Nothobranchius furzeri: one gene and its partners. The protein of the gene in region 2 binds, or shares a complex with, the protein of the main gene of each other region. Links are inferred from orthologs where the notes say so. Each region holds a gene or a part of one and is shown on either strand. Other genes may lie near its edges.

Evidence for each region.
Region 1: rbmx2 (region 2) and snrpd3l share a complex: the UniProt entries of both Homo sapiens proteins name them as parts of the minor spliceosome. The link is inferred for Nothobranchius furzeri from reciprocal best matches to the Homo sapiens genes RBMX2 and SNRPD3.
Region 3: rbmx2 (region 2) and srrm1 share a complex: the UniProt entries of both Homo sapiens proteins name them as parts of the minor spliceosome. The link is inferred for Nothobranchius furzeri from reciprocal best matches to the Homo sapiens genes RBMX2 and SRRM1.
Region 4: rbmx2 (region 2) and scnm1 share a complex: the UniProt entries of both Homo sapiens proteins name them as parts of the minor spliceosome. The link is inferred for Nothobranchius furzeri from reciprocal best matches to the Homo sapiens genes RBMX2 and SCNM1.
Region 5: rbmx2 (region 2) and rnf113a share a complex: the UniProt entries of both Homo sapiens proteins name them as parts of the minor spliceosome. The link is inferred for Nothobranchius furzeri from reciprocal best matches to the Homo sapiens genes RBMX2 and RNF113A.
Region 6: rbmx2 (region 2) and armc7 share a complex: the UniProt entries of both Homo sapiens proteins name them as parts of the minor spliceosome. The link is inferred for Nothobranchius furzeri from reciprocal best matches to the Homo sapiens genes RBMX2 and ARMC7.
Region 7: rbmx2 (region 2) and cwc15 share a complex: the UniProt entries of both Homo sapiens proteins name them as parts of the minor spliceosome. The link is inferred for Nothobranchius furzeri from reciprocal best matches to the Homo sapiens genes RBMX2 and CWC15.

What each region holds. Positions count from the first base shown.
Region 1 is NC_091746.1:48,714,686-48,718,978, forward strand, and holds snrpd3l (small nuclear ribonucleoprotein D3 polypeptide, like), read left to right. Parts: upstream 1-1,493; 5' UTR 1,494-1,625; intron 1,626-2,415; 5' UTR 2,416-2,430; coding exon 2,431-2,556; intron 2,557-3,343; coding exon 3,344-3,536; intron 3,537-3,919; coding exon 3,920-3,984; 3' UTR 3,985-4,115; downstream 4,116-4,293. UniProt on the Homo sapiens protein: Plays a role in pre-mRNA splicing as a core component of the spliceosomal U1, U2, U4 and U5 small nuclear ribonucleoproteins (snRNPs), the building blocks of the spliceosome.
Region 2 is NC_091750.1:26,772,697-26,776,624, forward strand, and holds rbmx2 (RNA-binding motif protein, X-linked 2), read right to left. Parts: upstream 2,801-3,928; 5' UTR 2,695-2,800; coding exon 2,690-2,694; intron 1,484-2,689; coding exon 1,368-1,483; intron 1,187-1,367; coding exon 1,135-1,186; intron 1,052-1,134; coding exon 922-1,051; intron 794-921; coding exon 607-793; intron 533-606; coding exon 162-532; 3' UTR 83-161; downstream 1-82. Other genes in the region: ap4m1 (AP-4 complex subunit mu-1), read left to right, coding at 3,538-3,599, 3,673-3,758. UniProt on the Homo sapiens protein: Involved in pre-mRNA splicing as component of the activated spliceosome. As a component of the minor spliceosome, involved in the splicing of U12-type introns in pre-mRNAs.
Region 3 is NC_091758.1:35,723,794-35,727,293, forward strand, and holds part of srrm1 (serine/arginine repetitive matrix protein 1), read right to left. Parts: intron 2,685-3,500; coding exon 2,514-2,684; intron 2,156-2,513; coding exon 2,061-2,155; intron 1,893-2,060; coding exon 1,668-1,892; intron 1,589-1,667; coding exon 1,403-1,588; intron 1,320-1,402; coding exon 1,200-1,319; intron 1,101-1,199; coding exon 892-1,100; intron 1-891. UniProt on the Homo sapiens protein: Part of pre- and post-splicing multiprotein mRNP complexes. As a component of the minor spliceosome, involved in the splicing of U12-type introns in pre-mRNAs. Involved in numerous pre-mRNA processing events.
Region 4 is NC_091745.1:65,775,869-65,780,066, reverse strand, and holds the start of scnm1 (sodium channel modifier 1), read right to left. Parts: upstream 2,801-4,198; 5' UTR 2,693-2,800; coding exon 2,642-2,692; intron 2,511-2,641; coding exon 2,440-2,510; intron 2,358-2,439; coding exon 2,269-2,357; intron 1-2,268. Other genes in the region: lysmd1 (lysM and putative peptidoglycan-binding domain-containing protein 1), read left to right, coding at 3,360-3,539. UniProt on the Homo sapiens protein: As a component of the minor spliceosome, involved in the splicing of U12-type introns in pre-mRNAs. Plays a role in the regulation of primary cilia length and Hedgehog signaling.
Region 5 is NC_091745.1:10,008,494-10,012,371, reverse strand, and holds rnf113a (E3 ubiquitin-protein ligase RNF113A), read right to left. Parts: upstream 2,704-3,878; 5' UTR 2,650-2,703; coding exon 2,544-2,649; intron 2,244-2,543; coding exon 2,164-2,243; intron 2,092-2,163; coding exon 1,993-2,091; intron 1,738-1,992; coding exon 1,630-1,737; intron 1,540-1,629; coding exon 1,430-1,539; intron 1,348-1,429; coding exon 1,241-1,347; intron 1,151-1,240; coding exon 1,061-1,150; intron 989-1,060; coding exon 895-988; intron 826-894; coding exon 719-825; intron 633-718; coding exon 565-632; 3' UTR 501-564; downstream 1-500. UniProt on the Homo sapiens protein: Required for pre-mRNA splicing as component of the spliceosome. As a component of the minor spliceosome, involved in the splicing of U12-type introns in pre-mRNAs. E3 ubiquitin-protein ligase that catalyzes the transfer of ubiquitin onto target proteins.
Region 6 is NC_091756.1:50,514,990-50,519,237, reverse strand, and holds the start of armc7 (armadillo repeat-containing protein 7), read right to left. Parts: upstream 2,801-4,248; 5' UTR 2,768-2,800; coding exon 2,708-2,767; intron 2,634-2,707; coding exon 2,546-2,633; intron 549-2,545; coding exon 405-548; intron 326-404; coding exon 1-325. UniProt on the Homo sapiens protein: As a component of the minor spliceosome, involved in the splicing of U12-type introns in pre-mRNAs.
Region 7 is NC_091750.1:48,553,601-48,557,191, reverse strand, and holds cwc15 (protein CWC15 homolog), read right to left. Parts: upstream 2,436-3,591; 5' UTR 2,285-2,435; intron 2,200-2,284; exon of another isoform or gene 2,057-2,199; intron 1,955-2,056; 5' UTR 1,939-1,954; coding exon 1,808-1,938; intron 1,725-1,807; coding exon 1,612-1,724; intron 1,508-1,611; coding exon 1,407-1,507; intron 1,336-1,406; coding exon 1,225-1,335; intron 1,128-1,224; coding exon 979-1,127; intron 868-978; coding exon 738-867; 3' UTR 501-737; downstream 1-500. UniProt on the Homo sapiens protein: Involved in pre-mRNA splicing as component of the spliceosome. Component of the PRP19-CDC5L complex that forms an integral part of the spliceosome and is required for activating pre-mRNA splicing.

The DNA of each region.
Region 1 (4,293 bases), on a different chromosome or scaffold from region 2:
GATTGCAGCCAGGCAACAATTTGTCATTGCCAGGTCAACCTATGATCTGAAGTCACCAATGAACACAAACCAGCTACGTTTCAGCTGAACCAAAGGACTTATTTCCACTTTGTTACTACCTGTGATGCTACCACTACTTTCAGGGTCTGGCCTGCACACATCAAAATCATAAAAAGATTCCTCACACTCACTCACTCACTCACACACACACACACACACACACACACACACACACACACACACACACACACACACACACACACACACACACACACACACACACACACACACACACACACACACACACACACACGTAAAGTGCCCAACCACAAACTACTCACTGAAAGGTGTTTACAGATCAGCCATGGCTGCTGACGCCAGTCAATGAGCCAAATGCAATGGAAATCAAATGAAGATTCATTTGATGATGTCTTTTATTATCCCATTATGCCTTCTCTTTCCCCATTAAAAAGCTCTTTCAATGTGGGACAGACCTGCATTAGGCCACTTTTATGTGTCCCGTAGCAATCCCCGAGACACATCTCCTGGAACAAACATACACGGGTATGTATATTATGTGTACTTTATGTTTATTCTAGTTCTTTGCATATCATTTGTGCAGTACACTGTGGCCATACTCAGTGTTGTAAAAATAGATAAAATTAGTTCATTTTAATGTTTTGTTTTTATGTCTAATGCTGTTTTGATTTGCATGAGATACAGATCATAAAAATACTGTTGTGGGTGATTCAATGATGGATCAATGTTCCATGGGAATTTAAAAAGTACCTAACACTGAGCTGCTTTATGAAAAGCCATGTAAAGCTGTAAATGTCAACTTGGAGCCAAGATGACAAGTAATGCAAAACTGTTCTATTTTTCTGAAAGAAAATGCAAATCAATCCTGCTACTGGATCAACATTTGCTTTTTAAAACAATACAGTTCAGTGTCTGGTGTAGCTGCATAAATTGCCCATCGTCATTAGACGATGCAGAAAATGTAGTCAACAGCTGATTTCCTTCAAAATCATGGAAATCAAGTTTATTCATTAAACTTTAGTCAGATGTACGTAAACACATATTCAGTCCTCTTAGAAATGCAATGTTCTACTTGTGGAGAATGAAAATCAATTTTCATTTCCATCATAACTCAACATTTATAGAAGAAAGAATGAAACAATCTTTTATATAGCGCCCCCAAGATAAAAATCGCGAGGTGCTTCTCAAGCATAAAAAATTAAAAACAAATACAAGTAAAAAACAGATTATAAATTAAGGAAACGTGATTAAAATGTAAATAGTTTCTTATAATTTTAGTTTTTATTTTATTTAATTTTATGTGTTTCAGTCTTTATAAAAAAAATAATTCTACATAAGAAGCTGAGTTTGTCAGTTTCACTAAATAATAGTCCCATAGACTGTACATACTCAATAGTCCTCAACCATGGGCGTTATTGAACTACGTGTCCCACAATGCATCGCGGTAGGTGCCACCGGAAACACTCGTTGTGACCCTTCGTTGCAGGCGGAAAAAAAGGCTCAAAAGGATCCCGAAAGCGTCAAACGCACGTTGCAGTTCAAGAAGAAATAACAATAAAGCAAATAACTCTTACGAACAAGTCAAGGTAAGTTACAGGAGTAACATTAATTAGTTTGAGGAAACGGAGTTCTCATTCTTCTATTGGTTTTCGTTATTTAGAAATTTCGATTTATTTCGTTCATGTGTAGCATGGCTAAGGTTACGCGCATTTTCAAAACTCCGTATGTTACTGTAAAATATTTAGGTATTTAACTATGCTTATTAATCGTAGTAAACTGTAAATAGCATTTACGGCCAATCATATTTACTGTTTGGAATTGTTTAATGGTAGTTTCTAGATAAATTTGTCCTGTAGCCTTGCTAGCTAGTATGGCTAACTGAGCTAGCGGTTAGAATGCTATCAAACATTCTCCACCAGACTCTTAAAAAAAGAGAATACCCAAGCGAAATCGTTTATTCTCTAGTAATGTTATAAAGTGTATTACTGCGTAAATTCATGCTAAATAATAAAAACACCTTCATTTTAGTTAAGTCTAAATACTATGTCCCACATGAAAGTTTCAATTAATGTAGCGTTCGGGTTCACAACACTTCTTTTGTTATGGCTTTTTGCACAAAACCTGTTTTCCCAGGGCGTCTTTCCTTATTTGTCTTAATTTCAGTGACTAGTATTAATCCACAGTCATGAAAAAGTTCACTCGCCTTATTCTGTTGCTTCTCCTACTAGTTGTAATGCAGATTGTAGATTTCAGTGCTGGAAACTGGGCAACCCGGCTAACCAATAAAGTTAAATGGATTTGGGTTGCCAATATTTAAGAGCAGACATTTCTGTGGGTGAGCACGTATAATCTTTTGCTTTGTGTGTTGTGTTCCAGGAAAAGCTTTGAAACATGTCCATCGGTGTACCAATCAAGGTCCTGCATGAGGCAGAGGGTCACATTGTGACCTGTGAGACCAACACTGGAGAGGTGTACAGGGGCAAGCTGATAGAAGCAGAGGACAATATGAACTGCCAGGTTGGTTTGTTTAGCAGTATGGTTTAAAAGGGTTCCAGTGATTTTTAATTGTCAAGAAAAGTGTCAATGAAAAGCCTTCAAAATACTGTTGATCATAAACATCCAGTCAGTGCTTGTTTCAATCCCATCTGCTGCCTGAATAAATTTTGTTTTTATTTCTCTTGCAAATTGCCTTTCTTGCAGCTTTTTAATGGGTTAAATTAAAAAAAATATTTAATTTTTATTTTGTGCACTCACAATAACTTGGGTCAGTAAATTTGGCATTTAAGGTGTTCTGTTAATGTGGATTTTTTGTGGGGTATGTAGTCATAAAAGCTTTTGTTTGTGTAATTACTGGTAAACTAATTTGTGTTTGGGATTAGTGTTCCCCTAAATTGCAAAACGTTTGGCCAAACAATGGTGTACATGGATGCTTGGTGTGAAGAGTTTTATTTTTTTGTAAAAGTGTTTCATTAAAGCATTCTTATCAGAAAGGCTTTTATGTTGGGTTTTCATTTTAAGTTGGTCTTTAGCTTTCATGATTTACCCAGTTCAGTCAGTTATTTAACTCTGTTGTTGCATCATAATTTAATAAACAGTCTAAAGTAACATCACTCTTCAATTGGATTCTATTTCAGCACACATTTTTATAAGGGTTGAATAAACTGAAATGTTAATTTACATTTGAGCCATGCTAGTTTGGTAACCTGTGTGCACCAAGATCCAGATAAGTAACAGAACTGGATTAATGGATGCTCACACGGTCATTTCACCTGTTGTGGACCTAAACTTGAATTTGTCCCTACAGATGTCCAACATCACCGTGACCTACCGCGATGGCCGGGTTGCACAGTTGGAACAGGTCTACATTCGCGGCAGCAAGATCCGCTTTTTGATCCTACCGGACATGTTAAAGAATGCTCCGATGTTAAAGAGTATGAAGAACAAGAACCAAGGCTCTGGGGCAGGAAGAGGAAAGGCAGCTATTCTTAAAGCACAAGGTGAGTGAGAAGCATTTGGACAATTTCTCCAGATGCTGAGACAGCGCTAGAGTTTAGTTCCCTCTTTAGCTGCTTGGCTCTTAAATAGTTGTTAATTACTTTTTTTTACAGGTAACAACAGTGTTCTATGTGGACACTTCTCACATTTTCTGAGGTGGAATGGTTTGAAAGACAGATCCCAATTCTTTTTTATCTAATATAAAGGGAAAAAAAGGCTTTTTCAAAGGAATGTTTAATGGTATTGTCTAATTTCTTCTCTTGTAGAAGTCCAACATAGTCAAAATATTTGAGTAGGGAAAATAGGGATTTGTGGGGGGGCATTTCTTCCAGACCAAAGAGATACCTTTTTTTGGAGTTTGACTTTTTATTTTTACTTTTAACAGTGGCTGCAAGAGGACGAGGTCGTGGTGGAATGGGGAGAGGCAACATTTTCCAGAAGAGACGATAACTTATTTTGTTTTAAATTTCATTGTTTGATGTCATCTTTTGGATTTACTATGCTTTGGTTTACTTTGCAGTCTTTTGCTCTACAATTTATCACTGTTTTTATTTTGTATGAAATAAACAGATTTCAGCTCAGTGTTGCTCTTCTTGACTGAACCTTTGCTGTGCTTTGCCCCATTGAAGCCCTTTTTTTGTAGTATTATTCAATTTTGAGTCCCACCTCTTTCATTTATATTGTGTATTGTAACCTTTTAGCAAGTAAAATTTGTACATTTACCCACGGAAAAGCATTTTACTGCATATTTATCCTAGT
Region 2 (3,928 bases):
AAATGCTTCACGAGTTCGCCAACGTGTTGCTTTGTAAAAGTCTCACCCGTCCTCAGGTGTTGGACATCAGACATGAAGTGTATCAGGTGTTCAGGTCAGATTTTAATACGAAACATTAAAACACACACACACACACCATGGATCGGCCAATCACAACCTGTCTATTTTCTATACGGCTCCCGTTTCCTGTTGTCTCCGTCTTTTCTTCTGTCTTCGTCCCACTCCCTCTCTCTTCGTCTTTTGTCTCTGTCCATCTCTTGTCTCCTATAGTCGTCTCTTCTGTCCTTGTCTCTGTCCACCTCTCTCTCACAGTTCCTCCACTTGTCTTCATTCCTGTCTGTCCCCTTTCCTCTCTCCGTGTCCCTCGTCCTCTGCCCTGCAGGCACCTCCTTGTGGTTGTACTTGTCGTAGGCGGCGTCTTGCTTCTCCTCTTTCAGTCTGAAGACTGCAGGAGGAGGAGAAGGTGATGAAGAGGGAGCTCTGCTCTTCTTCCTCTTCTCTTTCTTTTTTTTCTTCTTCTTCTCTTTCTTATCTGAGACAGAAAAGGGAAATAAGTCCACCTGGTCCTAGATCAGGTGACTTTCAGGTAACAGGAAGTGACCTCACCTTTTTTGGGCTTCTTCGCAGGTACGACGCACTGCTCTTCTTCCTCAGAGGAAGAGGGGACAACAGTAGGACCTTTGGGAGCACAGCCCTCTTCTCTGAGATGTTTGGTCACATCGTCCATGTCCTCGTTGTCTTTGGGAGGACGATAATTTTTAACGTGATCCACGCGGATAGTTCGACCTTTAATCTGAACGTTTAAACAACAACAAAAAGATTTTAGCTAATTGTCTCATCAGAGACCATGTTGATGCCGCTGTGGGCCAGCAAGGAGCGGCGCTGGGTCCACACCAGGACCTGGTGAGGACAGGAAGTCACCTTTATGCCATTGAAGTTGTCCACTGCCAGGATGGTGCTCCTCTGGTCCTCATAGCAGATGAAGCAGAACCCTTTAGACTTCCCCGTCTTCTTGTCTCTCACCAGGTTGATGTTGACGATCTCTCCGTACCTGGCAGGTTTGTCGAGAGGAGACAAACGTCACTGTCATGTCAGCTATAACGTAAAGCAGGTGAGACGTAAGCATGTACGTACTGGGAGAAGACACAGATCAGGTCTCCTTCAGTCAGCTCGAAGGGGAACCCTCCTGCAGGAAACGAGACCTCGTAAGCATCATCAGAACCAAACAAACCCACTTCAACAGTTTCATTCATGAGATCCCTTTTTATGTTGTTAATGAACAGAAGCAAATCGTCTCCAAAAGCCCAAAACACCAAACTCATCCCAACGTCTCCACGTGTGAAGGGCTGGGTTTGAGGAGTTCTCACCGATGAAGATCCAGGCACTGTCCCGGTACTCTGTGTGCCAGGAGACGGTCTCGCTGATGCCGAGGTCAGCCTCGCGCTCATTCAGCTCGTTAATCAGCTTCACCTTCGTTAGAGGACTGAAAACACACAAGTTGCTCAGTAAATCGTCCCGTTAGGGACTGGACCTGATTCTGACTCAATTGGAGTTTTATTGTGAAAAGCTGTCAGGACAATTTAGAAAGAAAAACTGCTTTTTGTTTGGACTACAGAGAAAAAGAGTCGAGCTTTTCTATTCAACCCCAACCTTGAGCCTGACCCTAATGACCCTTCAGCAGCAGCAGGCATAATCCTGTTCCTCCAGCAGGACCACGGTGTTCCTGGTCGAGCTGCTCCGTTTCACTTGTTGGCTTGATTTAAATTTGACATTTTAATTCTGAGGGCTGTTGCCTTGCAGCAAGGAGGTCCTGGGTTTACATCCCAGCCCGTCTTTCTGCATAGAGCTTGCATGTTCTCCCTGTGCATGCGTGGGTTCTCTCCGGGTACTCCGGCTTCCTCCCACAGTCCAAAAACACGACTGTCAGGTTGATTGGTCTGCCTAAATCATCCTTAGGTGGCTGTGCATGGTTGTTTGTCCTGTGTGCCTCTGGGCTGCCCTACGATGGACGATGGACTGGCAACCCATCCAGGATGTACCCCGCCTGCATGCCCAGAGACTGCTGGAGATAGGCACCAGCCCCCCAGAACCCTGTGAGGATATGCGGGTTCAGACAATGGCTGGATATACATGTAAATGTGTCCCCTTTGACTTCCGGGGTAAATACGATCGGAGTGGTGTGTTTTATTAGTCGAATGATCTTTTTTTTTGCAGCAGACGTAGAAACATTCATGAGAAAAAGATAACACCACATATGACCAAGCTTGTGGTCCTGTCTTCATCAGCAGTTGACATAAATTATTAGTCAACTTTATCAGACACACTGGTCTAGAATAAAACACGTAGTAGAAGGTCAGGGGTGTAAACAAAACAATAGCCAACCTACACATGATCAAATGTCTTCTTGAAGCATCAAAGATACATGCTACATCCCAAACACAACTGGGTGTTTATGTTTTATTACATGCTCTCTCTGGTTTTTAAGGAAAAAATGTTAAATTATCTGTTTTTTGAGCAGAATCCGATCGGCTACGAGTAGGAGCTAGCTAACAGCTAGCATGCTGCACCAGGATCAGTCATCAAACCGCAGAATAACGAACTCGCTCTTTTTACTTTAACTACACGACAAGAAGTAGAACAGTGTTGTGTCGGTGGTTCGTGTCATTTATGAATACATAAATGTACTTACTTCATAGTTAGTTACAGAAATTAGGGCACAGATCAGACGTTTTATTTGTTGAGGTAGACCACTTCCGTTTGGTTCGTCTCTGCTGCCCTCTGCAGTTTGGAGATCTAAACTACAAGCGATCATTAAACATGTGCAGATTATTTCTCTCGGGTTTATATAACACACCCAAACCATCTAGGTTGATGTATCTGAAGCAATTTCTTACGTAGCTATGAGTTCACTCATCGTGAAGTTAATAAATATAAAGTTATTAATGCAATCCTCATTCAACCTCCTGTCCACAAGGGAGCGCTGTGGGGCTACATGCTAACGGAGCCGTGTCGTAAACCGTAGCTATAACCTGAATATAAACCCAAAACCTTTCTGTCAGGTTAGCTTTGTAACCCTGCAGACAATGAGCTTATCTGGTTGTATTCAGCGTTTCTGAAAACTGCGGCCCTGTGAGTTATTAAAGTTTATCTATAGCTTACTGCTAGCCAAAGCAGCACCAGCCGTGCTTTCATTTCCTTTGAAGTTCTGTTAAAAATAGCCGCAGTAAGATCTGGTTCTTCCAGGTAGACCCCACACCTTCCGCAGGCGAGTACAGCAGCTGTAACCCCTCACAGATCCACCTTTCCGTTAGCGGAACTTCTGTAGTTTTATCTGCAGGTTCTCACCAGTACACAACAGTGCTGTTAACACTTATAATACAATAAATTAGATAGGATTTGGCTTTATTCCAACTCTGATAAACATGTTGTAACGTGACGGAAGTGGTCACTTTTATTAAATGATCAATAAGGTGTGATATTCCATATAAATATTAGTTATCATTATCATTAATCTTGTGCTTGTGATCTTCCTTTCAGGAGGATGATCTCTCAGGTCTTCATCCTGTCCTCCAAGGGGGACCATCTCATCTACAAGGACTGTATCCTTTTGCTTCCAGTCCCGTGAGACTTTACCCTATCAGGAGTTAGAGCTTAACCCAAGCCAACAATCAGACCGAGGCCAAAGAGGAAACGATGTGGTCAACATCTTCTATGAGAAGGTCACAGCGCTGACTGGAGACCAACCTCTGGTCGTCACGGTAACGCCTCCACAGTCTGGGACACATTTAGACCCAAACTGTTGTGTTGTTTTGAGTTCTGATTTGACCCAAACACGAAGAGTAGGTCAAACCAGAACCACTAGATTAGAAGTCACATCAGGATGAAGCAACGATGTTTCGGCGTCTGTTTACTGTCTGAGGAACTGGAC
Region 3 (3,500 bases), on a different chromosome or scaffold from region 2:
ACCAAGTTAATTTAAAGATCACGTCACCTCCAAATCAACTTTTTTTCTGATAAACTATATAAATGTGTGTCTAATCGTGCTGCAGACACGTGTAGTCAATAGTTTTGCACTTAAGTGCATTTTAGTAAAAAATTTAATTTTCTGCCTAAAACTGTCAGTGTTGTGCCGTTGTCAGGTAAAAACTCTGCACTGCAGTTGAATTTAAATCTGCCATCGCTATTGGCTAAGAGGTACCCTAGAACGTTAGCTGGTACCATAGGATGTCACAATGCTTTTGTGAGCGTGTGTATTTGTTAGCGGCTCCGCCCTCTCGGTCTGCTAGGCAACAGCATTTGTTGCATTTTTCAAACAGGAAGTGGGAGTGGAGTAAGTTTCTTGTAAAGATCAAGTCACCCCCTACAAGAAACTTACTCCACTCCATGTTTGAAAAATGCCACAAATGCTGTTGCATAGCAAATCGAAAGGCCGGAGCCGCTAACAAATACACACACACGCGCTCACAAAAGCATTGTGACATCATTATGTACCTGCTAACGTCATTGTGTACCTCTTAGCTAACAGTGATGGCAGATTTAAATTGAACTGTAGTGCAGAGATTTTACTTGACAGTTTGTCAGAATATTTAAATTTTAACTAAGAAGCATTAAAGTGCCAAATTACTGACTACACGTGTCTACAGCACGATTCGACTAATTTATGTAGTTTATCAGCAAAAAAAGTTGATTTGGGGGAGACTTGCTCTTTAACAATGGTTACATTTAACAAGTAGAATTACAGGGAAGGGTTTGTCTTTTCTTATAACTTATAAATCTAAGTTTCATTTAGATATTTTATCAATCAACATTAAAAATGAAACAGCTAGGAGGCTAAAGCTAACGTGTCGAGTCATACCCAATGACATGAGAGGGGAAGGAGACCTCCGGCCTCTTCTTGCTCGTGGAGACAGCGATCGCTTGTCCTTTGGTGCGGGACTGATAGACGTGTCAAAACGGCGGACTTGTTTACGGGGGGGCGTGGGGGATATTCTCTTCACAGGCTTTTTGGGTGAACGTGAACCAGAGGAGCTGCTGCCAGAAAACGAGGCAGAACGAGAGCGTCTCCTAACAAGGAAATGCGAAAAATTAGAAAGACATTATTAAAGCATCTGTCGTCATGAGATTCAGGTACAATCTGTAAAAGCTGCCCTGCACCTCACTGACCTGCGGACTGGGGAACGCCTAGGTCGATGTCTAGAGCCAGCCGGGCCGCGTCTAGGAGGACTCCATCGTCGAGGAGACATTCTCCTTCTGGGACTTTGTCTTCTACGAGGGGAGTACGACCTGATACAGAAGAGAGGAAAACGATCAACTTAAAAAACAAATACCTTTTTTTGTACAGAGTAAAATGATATTTTAATAAAGACCTTGAGCGAGAGCGTCGTCTGTGAGAGCGGGAATGAGACGGGGAGGGTGAACGATGGTGAGGTCTCTCCTTCCTCACGTCCTTTTCACGAGATCTCGGCCTCTCCTCTTTCTTGTGAGACTTTTCTGGGGATGTTTCTTTGACCTCAGAAACTGAGTCAGCTTTTACCAACTCCACCACTGCATCACTAGAAAAGAAAAGCATTTATTTTTGTCATTACATGTTACAATCCAAATCCTACAGGTAGGACACACAGAGACACAAACCCAGTAGAAGAAGCTTCTTGGATAACCGGCTCAGTCGGCTCTTTCTCTGAAGTATCAGCTTCAACAAGCTGCTGTGAGGCTCTAGTGGAAGACTGCATCAGAGGTGGGGCGGGTGAGTTTGCACTGAGCGGACTGGGTTTGCGTCTTGGGGAGCGTGACGGGCTGCGTTTTCTTTCCCGTTTGGCAGGCGACCTTCGTCGTGGTGATGGTGACCTGGTTTTCCTCCTGACCAAAGGAACAGAACAGACGTTAATATGAACGGATGTTTCCCAGTGATCGTGATCAAACAATAATTAGTTCCAAACATGTTATACCTTTGGGATAATCTATGTCACTATAGTAAATTTAACAACAGAAGAAGTTTGATTCACATTTAAAACAAAAACCTCCCACCTTCTTGGGCTCTTGGACTGAGCCCTCTCTCTGGTGTCTTTATCCTTCTTGTCCTCATCCACCTTTCTCAGGGAAGCCAGTTTCTCTTGTTCAATCTGTCAAATATTAAACTATAGCTGAATAATATACTAACAAACATGGACAACTCGGACTAAGCTGCCGTTTTCAAAATAAAATGTACCTCAAGTGTAAAATTTTGTGTTTTCCAAAACGTTCTCCATCAGGATTAAAACGTATTATTTACCTGATTAATTACATTGTCAACGTTGTATAGGGGTGGCAATAAATACATTTTATTGAATAAGATGAATTTGTTTTTTATGAAGATTTTATTTTGGATAAAATAAAATTTTACATGCATTCTTTTTACTCCATTTATAGTGTCTGTTTATCCCGTAAAGTCTGAGGAAGTGCACTTTCATATAAAGTTCTGAGGTTCTAAAGACGCATCACCTGTCTCTGTCGGATTTCCTCCTTCTTCTGTTCCAGGAAAGCAGACGGGATGCCAGCAATGTTCTCCTGGGCACTCAGCAGCAGGGGCCACAGGTCTCCCATGAACTCACGGGCGTTCTTGCCATTCAGAAACCCTGTCAGGTTGATCTGCATCATCTTACTATCAGGATGCTGCAACATACACAATAAAGGGGGAAAGAAAAAGAGACAAAGCCGTTGAAATAATAGAAAACATAAAAAGGAGGCAGGGTCCCACACATGGGGCTTCCCACCATCTATCCCTGTCTAGACTAAACCTGGGATAATCTAGCTAACCAGATCTAAATCATACACAATGCCGTCTACAATACTGGACTCAGAAACTTTTAATTAATTATTTACTCAGTCTGTACTGAACTCTTGAAACTGAGAATGCAAGTTAGCTGAGGGGAGACATTTCTAGCAATGTAAACAAAAAACTGCATGCAATAATTCTGTTGTAAATCCCTAAATAATTTTAAAATAATCAGCATTTTGTGATCATATTTGTACTACTGCTCTACTTTTTACCCCGCCCCATTTGCCCCAGTCTCCCCACAGTCTACACTTCAGGGGTTAAACAAATAACCACAATACAGAGTGCATCAAAACCCAACACTGCAAGTACAGTTCCGGTGTCTTCAGTGAGTCCCGTGGGATCAGTGGGCACGGAGCTCCATTGGCTTGCTTCCGCCTCCCTACTGCTTGAGACTCAACCACCATGAGCTTAATGTTATATCATTTATCTAAATTGCAAGAGACGAACAAGCAATAATGAGTACAGTTACACACAAACTTTATTTTTTATTAAAACAAGTGTTAAAACTAGCCAAACTGTAATCTCTATTCTATCACAAAATCCACTTCACCCCAGTTAGCTTTAAGAACTAGGAAAAAACAAAAATAGAATAGAAATTATGTAAACATCATACTAGTATCATTTATACACAATTACATTTCTATTAGCAG
Region 4 (4,198 bases), on a different chromosome or scaffold from region 2:
GCCGTTACGCTTTTGGCCTGAGGGGGCAATCGCGAGCATAAAAATTCAAAACTCCATAAAGTCCCTTTAAAGAGCCTTTGAATCGCTCGCCTCCTTAAAAAAAAGCCCTCCTCCCCTTTTCATCTAATGATCGCAGTTAACAGGAAATTCTCCAGAATACTGCAGAAAGGTAAGTCTACTGTGAGCATGCGTGTGCACTTGTTAATGACTAATTTTTCGACAGAGAAACTCCGACAGCGCACGCAGAGGGGGTTGAGGGGAGTGCTGTCTATCACTGCCTCTGAGTCGCTCTCTTGGTCCACCAGGTGACACCTCTTTCAGAAGTGTTTTCCTAACAGGAAGTGTGAATGAAATAAGTCCCCACCCATGCCATGACTCCCACTGTAACTATAGTACAGTGGTGTAGCGATGTTAATATCGATAATCAAAACAAGCTATTAACCCCTTTTTAGTATGCATTTTGATATTTAAAATGCATCACAAGTTGCATATGATTAATTTACAGCTGTTAATTCTTTGTTGCTCAGGTTTTTAAACACTTTTTGGTATACAAGTAATTATGGATTGTTTTTGTTTTGTCTTTTCTAATACTGAAGATAATTAGGGCCACTGAAGAAAAAAAATTTAAAAAAAGAATTCTGACTTTAACTCACTAACTGCCAGCCGTTCTCCAGTGGCGTGTCCAAGCTCTTTAAAATGGGGTGGCCCAGGTGGGGCACTTGTTTATGCACGAGTGGCCCCTATGGTTATTGTATTGTAACCCTAAGCCTTTTGTGGAGAATGTAAAGTCAATTTATATGGAACTCGGTGGGGTGGCACCTGGGATTTCAAGGGTGGCATTTGCTACCCCAGGGCACTCCCTGGACACACTCCTGCCATTCTCTGATCAGAAAAGCCCTTCGCAGCCAGCGTTTTTCAGTGTTTCTACTGTTTCTTTAAGAGTCAATGAACGTTGTGCTCTAGGATGATGTCAACGCCAAAACTAACAAAACGAAGAGTAGACTCACCTCTTACATCAGGCAGAATCAGGGTTCATTTCAAGATTCTGGTTCTGGTCTATAGGGCCTTACATGGACAAGCACCATCTTACATTGGTGATCTTCTTAGTCCCTACACCCCCAGCAGGTCCCTGAGGTCCAGTGATCAAAGCCTACTGGTTGTGCAACGCACCAGTCTAAAGACCAAAGGTGACAGATCATTTGCTGCTGTGGCCCCCAGATTCTGGAACTCTCTCTCTCCTTGAGCCTGAGATCAGTGGACTCCTTTAAAAAGCAGCTGAAAACTCACTTGTTCAAGCTGGCTTTTGTATGGCCTTCTTCAACCCCTCTCTCTTTATTCTGCTCTCCCCACCTATTCCACCTTCCTCAGGATCCACTGATTTCCCTCTTTCCTATTCACTCTCTCTTTCTTAAAATTGTTTTCTTTTAAATCCCAATTGTCTATTTTTGCTCATTTGAAATAAATTTTTAAACATTTTCTAAATGCTTTTTTATATTTTTTACATTTTTTTGTTTTTGTGAAGCGCCTCGTGATTTTTATCTTGAGAGGCGCCATAGAAATGATATTTTCTTCTTCTTCTTCAGAATCTACATGTTTCGAGTGTTATCCATTCTTACATAATCTGTAGTCGAACTGTGATCGGCAGAAGCTTTTCCGGTTTGCGCCTCACTTATTTTTTTACAGCTGTGGCCCAAAACGATCTCCTAACACATGGATTTTCTGCTTCCTGATCACGTGGCGTGTGACGTACACGAATGAAGATCAGCTTATAGCTGGAATGTTTGTTCTCACGGTGCGGGGGCTCGTTCCGACGCCCACATAGTAAAAAAAATGCAAATGACGACTTTAGTCGTCAATGGCAGTTAATGAGTTAATCTCTGATTTCTGGCATTTTTCTCAGAATTCTGACTTTTTTCTTGATTGTGACTTTAATAATTCTGAGATTAAAGCCAGATTTCTGAGGGGAAAAATCTGATGTCTTTCTTTTCATATGTTTTATTTTCAGTGGCCTTAATCCTCTTCCATACTTTAACTCAGGGTGAAGTTCTTGGATTTTGAGTAAAAACCACGTGCTGTTGTTTTAATGATTTGTAATAAACAAATTGATCAGACTGTATGTTCTATTGTCTTCCCACAATATCATCAGATACTTTCAAGTGTTTCTTTGATGTCAGACAATGTAAGAAAATCATAACACCTGACTTAGAAAAGTTCTTCCAAACCTCATCCCTTACCCACAGGGAATGACACATTTAAGCTCACTTTTACCTTCTAGATGCTTCTTCCCTTGCCTGTGGACGGTCAGCACATCAACCGTATCAAACACGGGACGGTAGGAGCACACCAGACAAGTATATCTAAAAAACCACACACGTTTTCAGTTATTAATGTAACAACATGTCTGTTTCTTTTCCGAACGTGAGTCAAGCCGAAATTCACCTTCCATTTTTCAGCAGCGCAGCTTCGTCTTCAGGAATAAAATGAGACAGCAGATCGGCCACACGCCTTTTCTGAAAAATGTCAACAAAGTTGAAATAGTGAGTGCTCCCAGGACAGGAAGCTAACAGGATGCTAACATGATGCTAACTACACAAACGTATAATATTTAATGAAACAGACAACGTATAAAACAATATTTAACCTTAAGAATGTTGAGTTGACTCTTGTCATTCCCCTCTCTTTTAAAAGACATTGCTATGACATATACTCTTAAACTGAAGTTGGAACCAGATTAGCTGCTTTTTGTCAATGCTAGGCTAGCCCTGCTGATGCGTTCACAGAAGAATCGACGCATGGGAAATTCTAACCTCCAAATTTAGAACGGAGTTCAGCTTTGAACTAAAGTGTGCACAAACATTTCTGAATCATATCCATTATTTGTCGCTCATAATTATCATTAAAAAAGACTGCTCAAGTGCAGAAACAGTTTAAACGTTAGGTACTCCTAAAACGAATTCGAACAACTTTAAAGTGATTTCTGTTATTCGTATTGTATTAAACGCACCGTTTGTTAAGAATCATGTGACCAGCCCAGGCAGCCATGGCAACCAGCGTAGCTGCTACTGCTGCTGCTGACTTCACGAGATACGAGAAAATGCTAACAAGTTCACGATAACTTTTCAGGTGTGTAAAATAGGTTTATCATATAGTTTAACGGGGTTTTTACATCAGAGGCCCTGTGTGTGCTGCAGGTGCTGTATTGCTAAGCTTAAAATAGCAGGTTTAAAAAGGAAAGAAGCTTGAATAGTTGGGTCGTGTGCTAGTTCTTACATACATGTTTCTCTGGTAAAAGCTAAAGTTTACAGCTCTCTGTATTCTGCCGCACCTTGGACGGGTTTAAACACAAATGATACACCAAAATGTCCGGGGAGCGAGAGCCATCGCCTCCCGGGAGAGGGGGCCTCCTTCGCGGAAGCCGAACCAGATCTTACGGCAGTTTGATCCGACCTTCACAGTCTCCGGTTCGCCGCAGAGTCGTGGAACATGTCGTCCAACCGGGAGAGACTTTGCAGGGCCTGGCCCTTAAATACGGAGTGTCTGTAAGTACAAACTATTTACATTTTAAACAACCTATTTTAGTTAGGCTTACATTTTTGAGTCTCTCTCTCTCTCTCTATCTCTCTCTTTCTATATATATATATATATATATATATATATATATATATATATATATATATATATATATATATATATATATATATATGTGTGTGTGTGTATATATATATATGTGTGTGTGTGTATGTTTATGTTTATTCATTTCGCAGACACTTTTATCCAAAGCGACGTACAAGTTTTTTTTTAATAACCTGTAGGGCATGTTGTGATGTGTGGGGGAAACCGGAGTACCCGGAGGAAACCCACGCATGCATGGGGAGAACACGCAACTCCACGCAGAAAGGCGAGTTTTGAACCTGCGACCTTCATGCTGCGAGGCAACAGTGCTAACCACTGCGCCACCATGCATATATATATAAAGGTCCTGGGTTTGCTTCTCGGCCTGGGATCTTTCTGCATGGAGTTTGCATGTTCTCCCTGTGCATGCGTGGGTTCTCTCCGGGTACTCCGGCTTCCTCCCACAGTCCAAAAACTTGAGTGTTAGGTTAATTGGTCTGTCTGAATTCCTTAGGTGTGTGTGTGTGTTTGTGTGTGTGTGTGTGTGTGTGTGTGTGTGTGTGTGTGTGCGCGCGCGCATAATTGT
Region 5 (3,878 bases), on a different chromosome or scaffold from region 2:
CGGATTGTACTCTACACACACCCACGAACCAAAAGGACAACTCTTGAGTTTTCTAAAGGTAGATGTAGCCCAAACCATAAAGGTCAGGAGACGGATCAATGAAATGCTGCTACGTAATATTACCAGGAGACGCTCCACCGTTTGTGTTAACACGATTTGGTCCGTCTGCTCCAGGAGACGACCATAAGGGCACCTAGCAGTCCTCTCTGAGGACTGACAGCATTTCTTAGCTCCGGTCTGCTACAGCAGATGCATCGTCTCACGGTTCAGACTCTTTTGTTGCACAGGTTGTAATTATTAGTTTAGCATTAAGAGCGTAAAAGTTAGCCTTTTCTTCGGCTCTCTGGGTGTTACTGACGTCAGATGTAAATGTTTTCTTGGTGCTGGTTTTGTCTGCATGTATATTTGAAAGTTTGGACAAAGCAACGTGTTACAAATGTAAAACTTTTACTACAAACCCAGGCCTGCTTCAGTGTTTCAACATGATTGTACAAAAGGAACCGAGGCCATGAACTTTATTAGAAATGTACACAGACAAACACAGAGAGGGTTCTAAAGCGTGTTCTAATCTTCTTCGTCTGACGGTGGCTGGTCGGCTAAAGCGTTGCGTTTCTCCATCTTGGCAATCAGCTCTAGAATAAATGACAATAAAACATCAAGTGTGACTGTTTACTTTGGTTTCTGCTCCTCTTGGATGTTTTTGAGCAAATGCATTTACCTTTAGCGGGGTTGAAGACACCATTGGTCTGAGTGTTGCACACGTAGCAGCGCTTTGACTTGCGATAATGCTGAAGAGCACAGCTCTCACAAAAATAGTGCTTACACCTAAGGAAACAGCGATTACCAGCCGGTAATAAACAAGGACTGAAGGAGAGAAACCATCGCAGTACTTACTTTGTGATGATGGGATTTTTAAAAGATTCTCTGCAGATGAAGCACTTGAAGGGCAAGTCTTCATCATCACTGCTCACCTCATAGTTCTCGTCATCTAGATGAAAACACATCAGAAACTTAGTCTAGCCAGCAAAAGAGAAGATTTCAAGTTCGATTATTTACTCACCATTTGCTCCATATCTCCCTTCCTCCAGTTCCCTCTCAATCTGCCAGCCGTGTTTGTAGTCCGACCTGTCATGGAGGAACTTGCAGCTGTCTAATGGCAACGGATGCAATCATGATTAATAAACAAAACCTTTGACTTCACAGTAGGAACGTTTTAAGAGTTCAGATTGTTTTCACCAACCCCCAAATCCACAGAAACCCGTCTCCTTGTAGTCTTTGCAAATATCCGGTTGGTAGTCCCACCGGACTGTAGCTCTCAGGTGTTCAGGAGCTCGAATCGGTCCTTTTCTGTAGCACAGATTGAACGTAACCTTCAGCATCTATAGGTGAACAACATCTTCTGACTGCATGTGAATATCTCTTGCCTCACCTGACCATGCCTGAAGAGGCATTGCCCATGGTGGTGTCTTTAGGCTTGATGAATTTTTGGTAGTTATTGATGCCACGGTATATTTTATCATCTTCTTTACCTGTTAGCTCCTAATGAGACAGAGGAGGGAAAGCTCAAATGACGAAGGTGAGATTTTGATTATTTCTCATTTTATATTAACCAATAGCGGCATGTCCTACCTCTTGGATTTTCTGACTCCTCTCAAAAATAGCTTGAGCATCCTTGTCTCTCTCTGTGTCCAGCTGATAAGTGGCAGTTGCACCCATGTCTTCAGGCCCCTCGGGTTTCTTTTTATGAAGGCAAGGTACAGTAGAAAGTTTTAAAGTAAATAAAAACAACTGTTCAGGGCACATAGTCATGTGTACGTGGATGAGAATGGTCTGTAGATTGTAAAATAATGTTAAAATTTGCTTTTCTGGTGAAGTTTCAGCCCCTGTATGTTTTGTCTCAACAGCCAGGTTGAGCCATGATGGAAAAAAGATCAGTGTTTGACTTGTACTGTCTGGCTCTGACATTTTTGAATGAATGCAGTCTGAACTCACCGCTGATCGGGAAGACTTGTAAGCAACCGTTATCTTTTTGTCTCCCTTTTCCTCCTCGCTTTCACTAGAAGACACAGCGTCCCTCTCCACTTTTTTTGTCTGAACAAAGAATACATAGATCATTCACGTTGCTGCTTCATAACTAAGTATCTATTAGCTTGCCTGCTCTACCTTTTGAATCATGGGGTTGACTCGAGCATCCTTCTTTTCTTTTCTGACCACAGCAGTCTGTTCAGTGTCACTATCGCCATCTAAAACAAACAAACAAACACACACGCGCACACACACACACACACAATTGGTGTAAACAAACATTACAAAATCTATTACAATTAAACTAGGTTACTTCCCCTCTTTGTTTAAATGTAGCTTTCAGGTGATAAACCATAATGTTTTTGGTCCTGTTTATTATGGAGGATAATATAAACAAACTGTTTGGGTCGCGGTTTTGATCTCCCTGATGAGAAGCCGCTATCAATTCTATCCAGAGGACAGACAACGCTAGTTAGGAGAAAATTACAAGGAAATGTATCTAAATGATAGTTTACTACCTTTATCGCTGTCACTTGCTTTTCGTTTTCTTCCGGAGAATTTCTTGGTGGATTTTTTAAACAAAAACGTACAAGTAGCTGCTTTTGGTTTGTCTGGGTCCGCCATGTTTTTGTTGGTGTAAGAACAGTGGCTGCCAGAGCAGTAGCGCCCCCTGTTGTTCTGGAGGCGAAACGTGACGCGCTCCTTCTGCCAAAATGAGATTCACAACCGTCCATAAATCAAAGTCAACGCGGCTCTGGCTAGAATGGTAAACCTAAAATATTATGTTAGAACGGACGAGGGCCAATGAAAACAAAAGAAAAATACAATAAAAAAATGAACAGAAAGATAATTCTGACTTTAATCTCAGAATTTTCAGATTTAAATCATTATTCTTTGTTTTCAGTGGCCTTAATCCTCTTCCGTAGTACTTGAAATAATTTTTAAAAGGTAATTTTAGTTTTAAACAGAAAAATAATTAACGCATTTTGATTGGACACTAAATGTATAAACGATTAATAAACAAAATACACAAAAATAGCCATTAGAAATGTCGTTGATAAAAAGAAGAAACGATCTTTTACAAGACCGCTCAAGATAATAATCATGAGCAGGCGCTTCACAAGAACAACAACAACAACAACAACCATAACAACAAAAAACAAAAAAAGAAAGAAAAATAAATAAAAACGAATGACATAAATTTGTAAGAAAATTTTATGTTTAACTGCTTTTTGTCTAAATAATCTTTTGACGTAACTGATGCCAACACAATCTGTCTATAAGTGATTAAATGTATTGTTTATGTCAACTTGATAACAAGAACTCAATTAGTTTCTGGCTTTCGAGAGTAGGGTTTTTTCCAACCTCTGGCGGTCAGAGGCGGTTACTACAGTGTTCACATAAAGTTGAACAACACATAACCAATTAGCACTTCCTATAAATCCTTTCAAAATAAAAGAAATAACAAGAGGTCAGAAGGTCTGCAGTTATATAAACTACACAACCGATGAAGCTTAATAAATGTATCATAATTATCTGTGTTAAACAAGATTAAATTAACGCGCTAAAACAAAAACTATTAGCAGCATTACAAACACATCAGATCATACGCCCTCTGGTGGCCTATTGTCCCTCTGCTGTAGACTCAGAGGAACATCAAGTAATTCTTTTTGATTGTGAAATTTAACTAACAAGTTTGTAATTTCTTCTCAAACATTTCAGATATAAAACAATTTAGGCCACTATCAGGTGTCTGCCCTGGGATTGGGAGATCGGGTTTGAATACCGGTCTAGTCATACCAAAGACTTTAACAAGGAACCCAATCCCCCCCCCTGCTTAACACTCAGCTTTA
Region 6 (4,248 bases), on a different chromosome or scaffold from region 2:
ATCCCGATGGCCGTCTGCACCCCCTGCATCTGCAGCTCAGCCTGTCTCACCTGCTCCTGGCTGCAGCAGTCCTGCAGGAAGACCGAGGCCAGGTTGCGCAGACGGGGGCTCTCTGCGAGTGAGAAGCGCAGCATGCACTGAACGATCCCTGGCTCTGTGATCTGAGAGCAGGTCGCTGGTGTGGTGAGGTTCATCAGGGTGGTGACGGCAGACAGCACCGTCTCCTCCCTCCGGTTTGACAGGTGGTTTGTGATCAAGCTGATCCCATCGTTCTCCAAGATGATGTCTCTGCATCCAGGGTCCATACTGAGGTTACACAGACCCCCTGTCAACACAATATTTGAGTTTAGATGATTTTTACATAAACAAACATGATTTACTGTTTTAGTTGGAGAGATGCTCACCCATCCCAAACTCCACAAAGTTCTCATTCTCTTCGGTCAACATGTCCAGGAACAGGTCAGGAACCTGCAGCTCCCTCAGGTACTCCATGTTCTTTGGGTCATATGCAAAGTTGGCTAGATTTGCCAGAACCTGCTCCTTTGCCTCTGATAAAGAGAAAAAGTAATGAAACAAACAGAGATACCTACATCCACTAATTCACCTTACACCAGCTCATTACAAACAATGATAAACAGAGGCTGCAGCACAGAAACAGTACACATTTATACCACAGGGGGCGCTTTTTACTTTCACATCAAAACACCCTTCAGGCTCAAATGTGGAGCTGACAGTATAAAAATAAGATTTGTCTGTAAACTAGAAAGGCGAGGCAGCTTTATTTGTGTAGCACATTTCATACACTGAAGCTATTCAATGTACTTTCCAGGTGCATGACCAGCATGATCATAAAAGATTAAAATCAACGTGACGACGTAAAACAGCAGCTTTTAAATTCAAATTTTAAATACTCTAATAAAATTAAATGTAAGAAATAAAATAAAAGACAAAGTTAAAGACTGAGCGCAGAAGGTACAGCATGAGAAATAATCCTTCAAAGGCTGATGAATGCATGAAAGTCTTCCATTTTGACTTAAAAGTTACTAGAGTTGGGGCACATTTCAGGTCATAAAGAAGCTGATTCCATCTGTGAGCAGCATAGTAGCTAAAAGCAGCTTCACCCTGTTTGGTTCTGACCCGAGGTTCTACCAGCTGACTGTTTCCTAAGGATCTCAGAGCCCTGCTGGGTGTATATATACAGGAAGGAGATCCAACATGTATTTTGGCCTCATTTATAAACTAGCAGTAGCACTTAGTAATCGTTTCTATAGTTTAATGGCAGCCAGTGTAGATATTTACAACTGGATGGATGGATGTGGAACTAGCGCATTATTTAATTCATCACATTATCTGGCTACTTATTTTTAACACCGTTTTTTTAAAAATAAAAACAAGCAGCTTTCTGCGGTAAAATCCAACAGAAAATGTTTACTTATGGCAGTAATCTCAAAGTGAACTAACATGTAGAATGAACAATCAGAATTTGGTTAAATAACGTCACTTTTTGGTTTCCAAATACTAAGCTTACATTTATTTCATGTCACAACGATACACTTTCAGAATAAAACTTAAAACGCTGCTTAGAATTACAGCTTATTTGATGTATTTGTTCACTTCTACCTGATTTAGTCATGTTTACAGATTCTTTTTCGAAAAATTTTAACTTCATGAAGTCATTTGCATGTATTTGTGATCTTTTTGTCTTCTGAACACAATTCTAATGCTGATAGTCAGCCTTTCTCCTATTGCAATGGATAAAAACTGGTCTAACATATATACAAATGTTCTTTTGACGATTTTTTTTCTCTCACTTCAAATAAATATACTGATGGAGAGTACAGTTTTCGACTGAACAACGGCTTCTGAAAAAGCCCTCTAACGATATAAATAATAGTGATGTGTCAGTCCGAACGAACCGGCTCTAAGAGTCGGCTCTTTGAAGTGAACAACGGGAGCCGGCTCATCATTGGGAGCCGTCCCCTCCCCTCCCCCCTCCCCTCTTGCTTTGGTGAACGCTACAGGCGATTGGTCAACATGTGTAACTGTGTGACCAGACTGTCCACACACAGAGCAGTAGGGACGGGGAAGAGGGAGAATCAGACTCAGACACACAGCAGAGCACATGCAGGTGGAGGTAGACGAGAGGGAATGAGGAGGAAAAAGGTGAGCGAGATAGAGAGGAGAGTGTGATGAAGACGGTGAGAAAATGAGCGCCAGCAGTCGGAAAGTGACAATTTCTTAAAGTGTTCAGTTATTAAATCCATAGAAATTATAAATATTTGATATATTGCATTTTTTTTTACATTAGTAAATAATTTTACATATAGTTTTGCATTATTTTGGTTATAAATGTACTCTACGAAACAGAAAATCTGAGGAGCCATTTGGGAGCCGAAAGAGCCGGCTCTTTCTGGTGAGCTGAGCCATTCCCATCACTAATAAATAATAGCATGCATCTAAACTGAGGGTGTTGAGAGTCTACGTGTTCGTTTTAAAACGGTTTTTATTTTAACTTTGTAGAACACAGATCAAAGGTTATTCCTACCTTCACTGTCAGTGTCCTGAAATTCAGTAACCAGCGTCTGTAAATATTCAAACCGTTCAGGCGCTTCAGCTGACTCATTTCTCTTCATCTTTTAGCAAAAACACATTTAACACTTCAAATAAAATTCACACAGATATCAGATTATGCTGATGTTTAAGTTACTTGACCGTTCATAGCTGATTCAGAGGTTGTTTTCATTTCACGTATGGGTCCGCGGCTCATAAGTGTTCGGAAAAACTGCGCAAGTAGATATTTGTTCCGCTGTTTTATCAAAACTTGTTTGTCCGTGAAGATGTGTTCCCCGTTCACTTTCGCATGATTTAAAGAGTAACGCATTTTTAGCTACACGAAATCGTAACATCGTTGCTATAAACTCGCCTATAACGTTATAAATGCTAGCATTGCTGTCACAATTGTGCAATGAAATACGCGAGAGCTACGCGAGCCGATGAGGAAACACATTTTAAATGGTGTACAGAGATTGATACAACACCGGCAGCTGAGCGGAAGTTAAGGAGCAGAAGGTGTGTTTGTGTTTATGTGCTCGTACAACAGCACATAACGCACGTTGCGGGAGGTCAGCTTAACAAAAACGCTATGTCGCTTTGTTTATTTAAGTAAAACAGCAACAATGAATCACCACCGGCTGTCCGCGAGAAAGCGCCTCGCCAAACCCATTTTGTTCGGAACTCTGCTGGTTGGACTCGCCACTATTTTCATTAACAGGTGAAACTGAGCTTTGCTAACTGCGTAAAAGAAACACACGCACAACACATTTCACTGTAACACCGGTGTGACGGTGAAACTGTCATTGGAGACTGAAGCAAAAATATTAAATACTATGAGTTAGCAGCAAATCGTAAACATATTTGCTTGTCGTTTATGCAGACACAGGTTCCTTGAAGACGTGGTTGAGCTCAAGGCCCAGGAGCGAGAACGCAACTATGCCAGGATGATGGAAGTCCTGGAGAGGAGGGAGAAACAGAAAGAGCTGGTGGAGAAGAAGAAGCAGCAACAGACAGGAAGTGACTGAACATATGAACTTTTTGCAGACGACTGATGCTTTACAGGCCATCAGACATTACAGTCATCCAGTAAATCAGTAAATTATAAGACTGGATGGAAGTTCAGCTGAGCAGGAACCACGCTTTTAAATTTTGACACTCGTGTTGGTCAAGCGGGAGCAGAATTAACCACCATCTACATAAATAGCCTTATTTTTAACTCGAATCATCTTTAATTTGTCTTGTTTTTTTTATCTTTGTGATTACTGTCTGTGATGGGTGTTATATAAATAAAATGTACTTACTATCTGGGAAAAACAGACTAAACCCCTAAGCCAAACAGAAACAGTGGGAGAAAAATATTACTGGATAAACGATTTTTTTTTTTATCAGGGTTGAATTAAAACCAAAGTATCAGGACTTGTATTTTGTCATTAAGGTGTATCAAGTCTGAGATATAAATTTTAACTTCATAATGGAGAGGTTAGAGAAGATTTTGAAGTTTTAATCTCAGTTCAGCTCAAATTAATATGCTAAAGTTTAAACTCCCATTACAAACAAATAAAATTCAATAAAGACTTCAATCACATCTTTTATTGGTGCATGCAATAAAGACATAAACAAAACAAACAATAATTCATATTGCACTTAAAATAACAAAAAGATGTGACTCACAATACAATTGAGGAATGAAGTTGT
Region 7 (3,591 bases), about 22 Mb from region 2:
TCATCACTAAATGAAACAAATCAGCTGTGTTCATGATCTAAACCATGCAGGAAACTTGCTGGAACTAGACTGCAGCGCCAGGTATGTCAGCTCAAGTTCTTCTAAGTTCAACAGATCAGACCAGCAACTGTGAAGCTGCAAGTGGGATATTTTGGCCACAGGGGGCGATAGGGGCTGGGTGGCATTTCATTAACACTGTGAAGGGTTATTTTAGCACATACTGGCTCAAGAAAATTATCTAAAAATATGAACAAGTTACAAAGTATCTTTTAACCCTCGCCACATCCTTGAACTTTTGCAAAACCCATTACCTTTTGCACAAAAAAAGCACTAGGGAGTGGAGGGTTAAATGAAAAGCAACACTCTTCATACCCATTTCTGTGCTGATTTTAGGCACCCCACCCCTAGCATTTTTTATAAAACTTAACTTTTTAAGTTAATTTACCCTTTAAAATTAAAAAATGCACAATCTGTTATTTCTGTGAAATTATGCAAAGTAATTCAAGGGAAAAAAGTCAATGTTTATTCAAATAATGAAAAATGCATGACAGAAATACTGAAATCACATTCTGAAATGTGCTTCAAACTTTCATGATTTACGCAAACAGCAACTGACCTGCAGACAGTACGGTTTCCAATTAGTTAGACTGTAAATAAATGCCAGCTGCAATTAAAATGCTTGAAACTAAAACATTTTCAATTAAAAAAGATCAAATGAAACACACACACAAAGTCCTCTACTTTACATATTTCTCCATAAATTTCTTGTGGAACTCAGAGCGCAGCGTGTCGTTGACAAAACGTTTCTCTTTCCGCGCCTCATCCACTCCTTTGGCGCAGTTTTTGAACACTACGTCATCATCCCACCTAGAAGTACATCAGAATTATTAGTGGTGGTGAAGGAATATATTTGTTTTTCCAAATGCAAACAAACAAAAAACCAACATTCTTGCTGTAACAAGTGAACATAAGAAATACCTTCTCTTGACTCTGAATGTGTTCTGAGTTTGGCTCTGTTGCTGTTGTTGCTGCTGCTGCTGTTGCTGTCCTGCTAAATTTATCAATGGATTTCCACTCAAAATATTTTCCATTCGAATCCTCTCTTCCTCTGCCTTCTGCTCTCTTTCCTAAATAACAAAAGAAAAGCACACGGAGGTTAAGCCATCCTCTATAACATCACTTTTCATTTATAGCCAAAGCAAACACAAACTTAAAACTCTTTACTTTGCGTTCTTGCTCTTCAGCTCGCTCTTTCTTAATTTTTTCAAGTTCAGCCAGCAGGGCTGCAGTGTCGTCATCATCACTTTCTTCATCTGAGTTCTCGTCTTCGTCATCCTGTAATGTAAAAATGGATTAATAACTTTATCCAGTGTAAGTCTGGGATGTATTGCAATGTAAATCCTTACATCAGTGAGAGGGTCATCGGCATCAAGGTTGGCTGCTGGGATCTGATCCAGTCTGGGCCTTTTTGAAGATGATGATGATGAAGAAGATGATGTGGTGTGCTCTGAAGAAATAAAATCAACACAATACAGATTAAAGGAACTATGCCAGAAACCGTTGCATACATCCTTTTTGGATCTAATCTTTATTATGAGTAGAAAAATCCACCTCTTGGTCCCCTCTCTCTGGTCTTCTCACGAGCAGCTACACGCTCCCTCTCCTCCAGCTCTCGGCGAAAATCACGGGCACGCACTTCCTCAGGGGCATCCTGGGTAGGCTGCCTTTTAATTGAGATGAAAGAAACACAGTTTAAGTAGTTCGAATAAATATTTAAGGTTGAGAAACTGGAACCCACTGTTCTGACCTGTATTTGATCTTGGTGTGACCTGGAAGATCCCGACTGGAATACTGCTTAGAAAGAGCACTCAAATCCCCTTCTCCTTTTCCTCTACCCCCTCTCGCCGGCTCAAATGTTGGTCTTGCAGCTGTAGTCATCTTTGATGGCCGTGCTCTGGCAAAACGTAAAGCAGAAAATAACTGACCAATTCATAAATTACAATAAGTAATTTTAGATATACATCATAATAAGTCTAATGTTAATATGAGTTAAAACCTTTAACGATCAGTTTCCTCCTAAATGTTGTTTAAAACACAAGTTAGCTTGATAGCTTCCACCGCTAATCAGTTGCTAACAGGCTAACGTGGGTGACAATGCAATTTAAGGAACATTTCCTATTTTTAAAACCCAATGCAAGATAATTACGAGAGTAAACATGTTTGAAACACAAAGCTTAAAATAAACAACACAATTTAAATACGTTTTTAAAGCAACAACACTTACGAAGCTGCTTCCAAAAGTGAAAAGGAAACGTTCCTGTACACAACGGTGCGTCACTTCCGGAACTAGACGCGTTCAGGAACAATCGGAGAAAAATCGTGCATATTTTGACCGGCATGACAGGACTCCAAGAACCTATTTTACTTGTATTGTTTACGAGGTCGGCTGCGCAGTGGTTAGAGCTGTTGCCTTGGGTTCACTTCCCAGCCTGAGATCTTTCTGCATGGAGTTTGCATGTTCTCCCTGTGCATGCGTGGGTTCTCTCCGGGTACTCCGGCTTCCTCCCACAGTCCTTAGGTGTGTGTGTGTGTGTGTGTGTGTGTGTGTGTGTGTGTGCGTGTGTGTGTGTGTGTGTGTGTGTGTGTGCGTGCATGATTGTTTGTCCTGTGTGTCTCTGTGTTGCCCTGCGATGGACTGGCTTTCTGTCCAGGGTATATCCCGCCTGATTGCCCATTGACCGCTGGAGATAGGCACCAGCCCACCGCAACCCTACGTGGACAAAGCGGGTTCAGACAATGGATGGATGGATGGATGTTTACAAGGTCAATAAAATGTAGTGTTCAAATTAAGAAAACCACAAATCTTGTTTACTACAGTATGATAATTACAGACCAATCTTAGTGCTTCCCCAGTTTTCTAAAGTCCCTGTTGCCCTTTTCAAGCTGGATCTAACCTCCATCTGTCTGCAGATTCCTGCACCCGACTCCTGTTGAAGATCTCAGCTACATTTATGCTGCTCCCTTGTTTTCTCCATTAATTTATTGTTTAAAACCGACCGTAGTCTGTGAACTGATTCTGTAAGTCGTGGGTTAGACACTTACCTCACAACATGACACCATAGTGACTGGTATAATTACGCAATCCTTCGATGAAAGAAGGTCACAGTTTAGTCTTGTATGCGATCATGGTTCAGGTTTGCATTTCATTATTTTCTGACCTCCTGCTATGACATTTTTTTTACCTGAAGCTCATAAATATTCCTGAAAAGTTGAATAAACAGAAATCTTCAGTGCAATGCACCGATATGAAACTTTGGGGCTGATACCAATATCTGATATATCGCTGTTATGGCCGATAACCGATGTTTGCCAATACCGATATACTGACATTAATGCTTCTAAGATCAACAGATTTGTAAAGATTAAAGCTGAATTGACGTTATGTACACACACCACACATGTTTACACTGTTAGATGATTGCAATCACTGTCACATGACTAAACAATTACACATCACCTCCCTCACCCTCTGAAACAGATAAACAAATGAAAACAAGATGGAAAAATTATCAGTTAATATTGGCCCAGTTT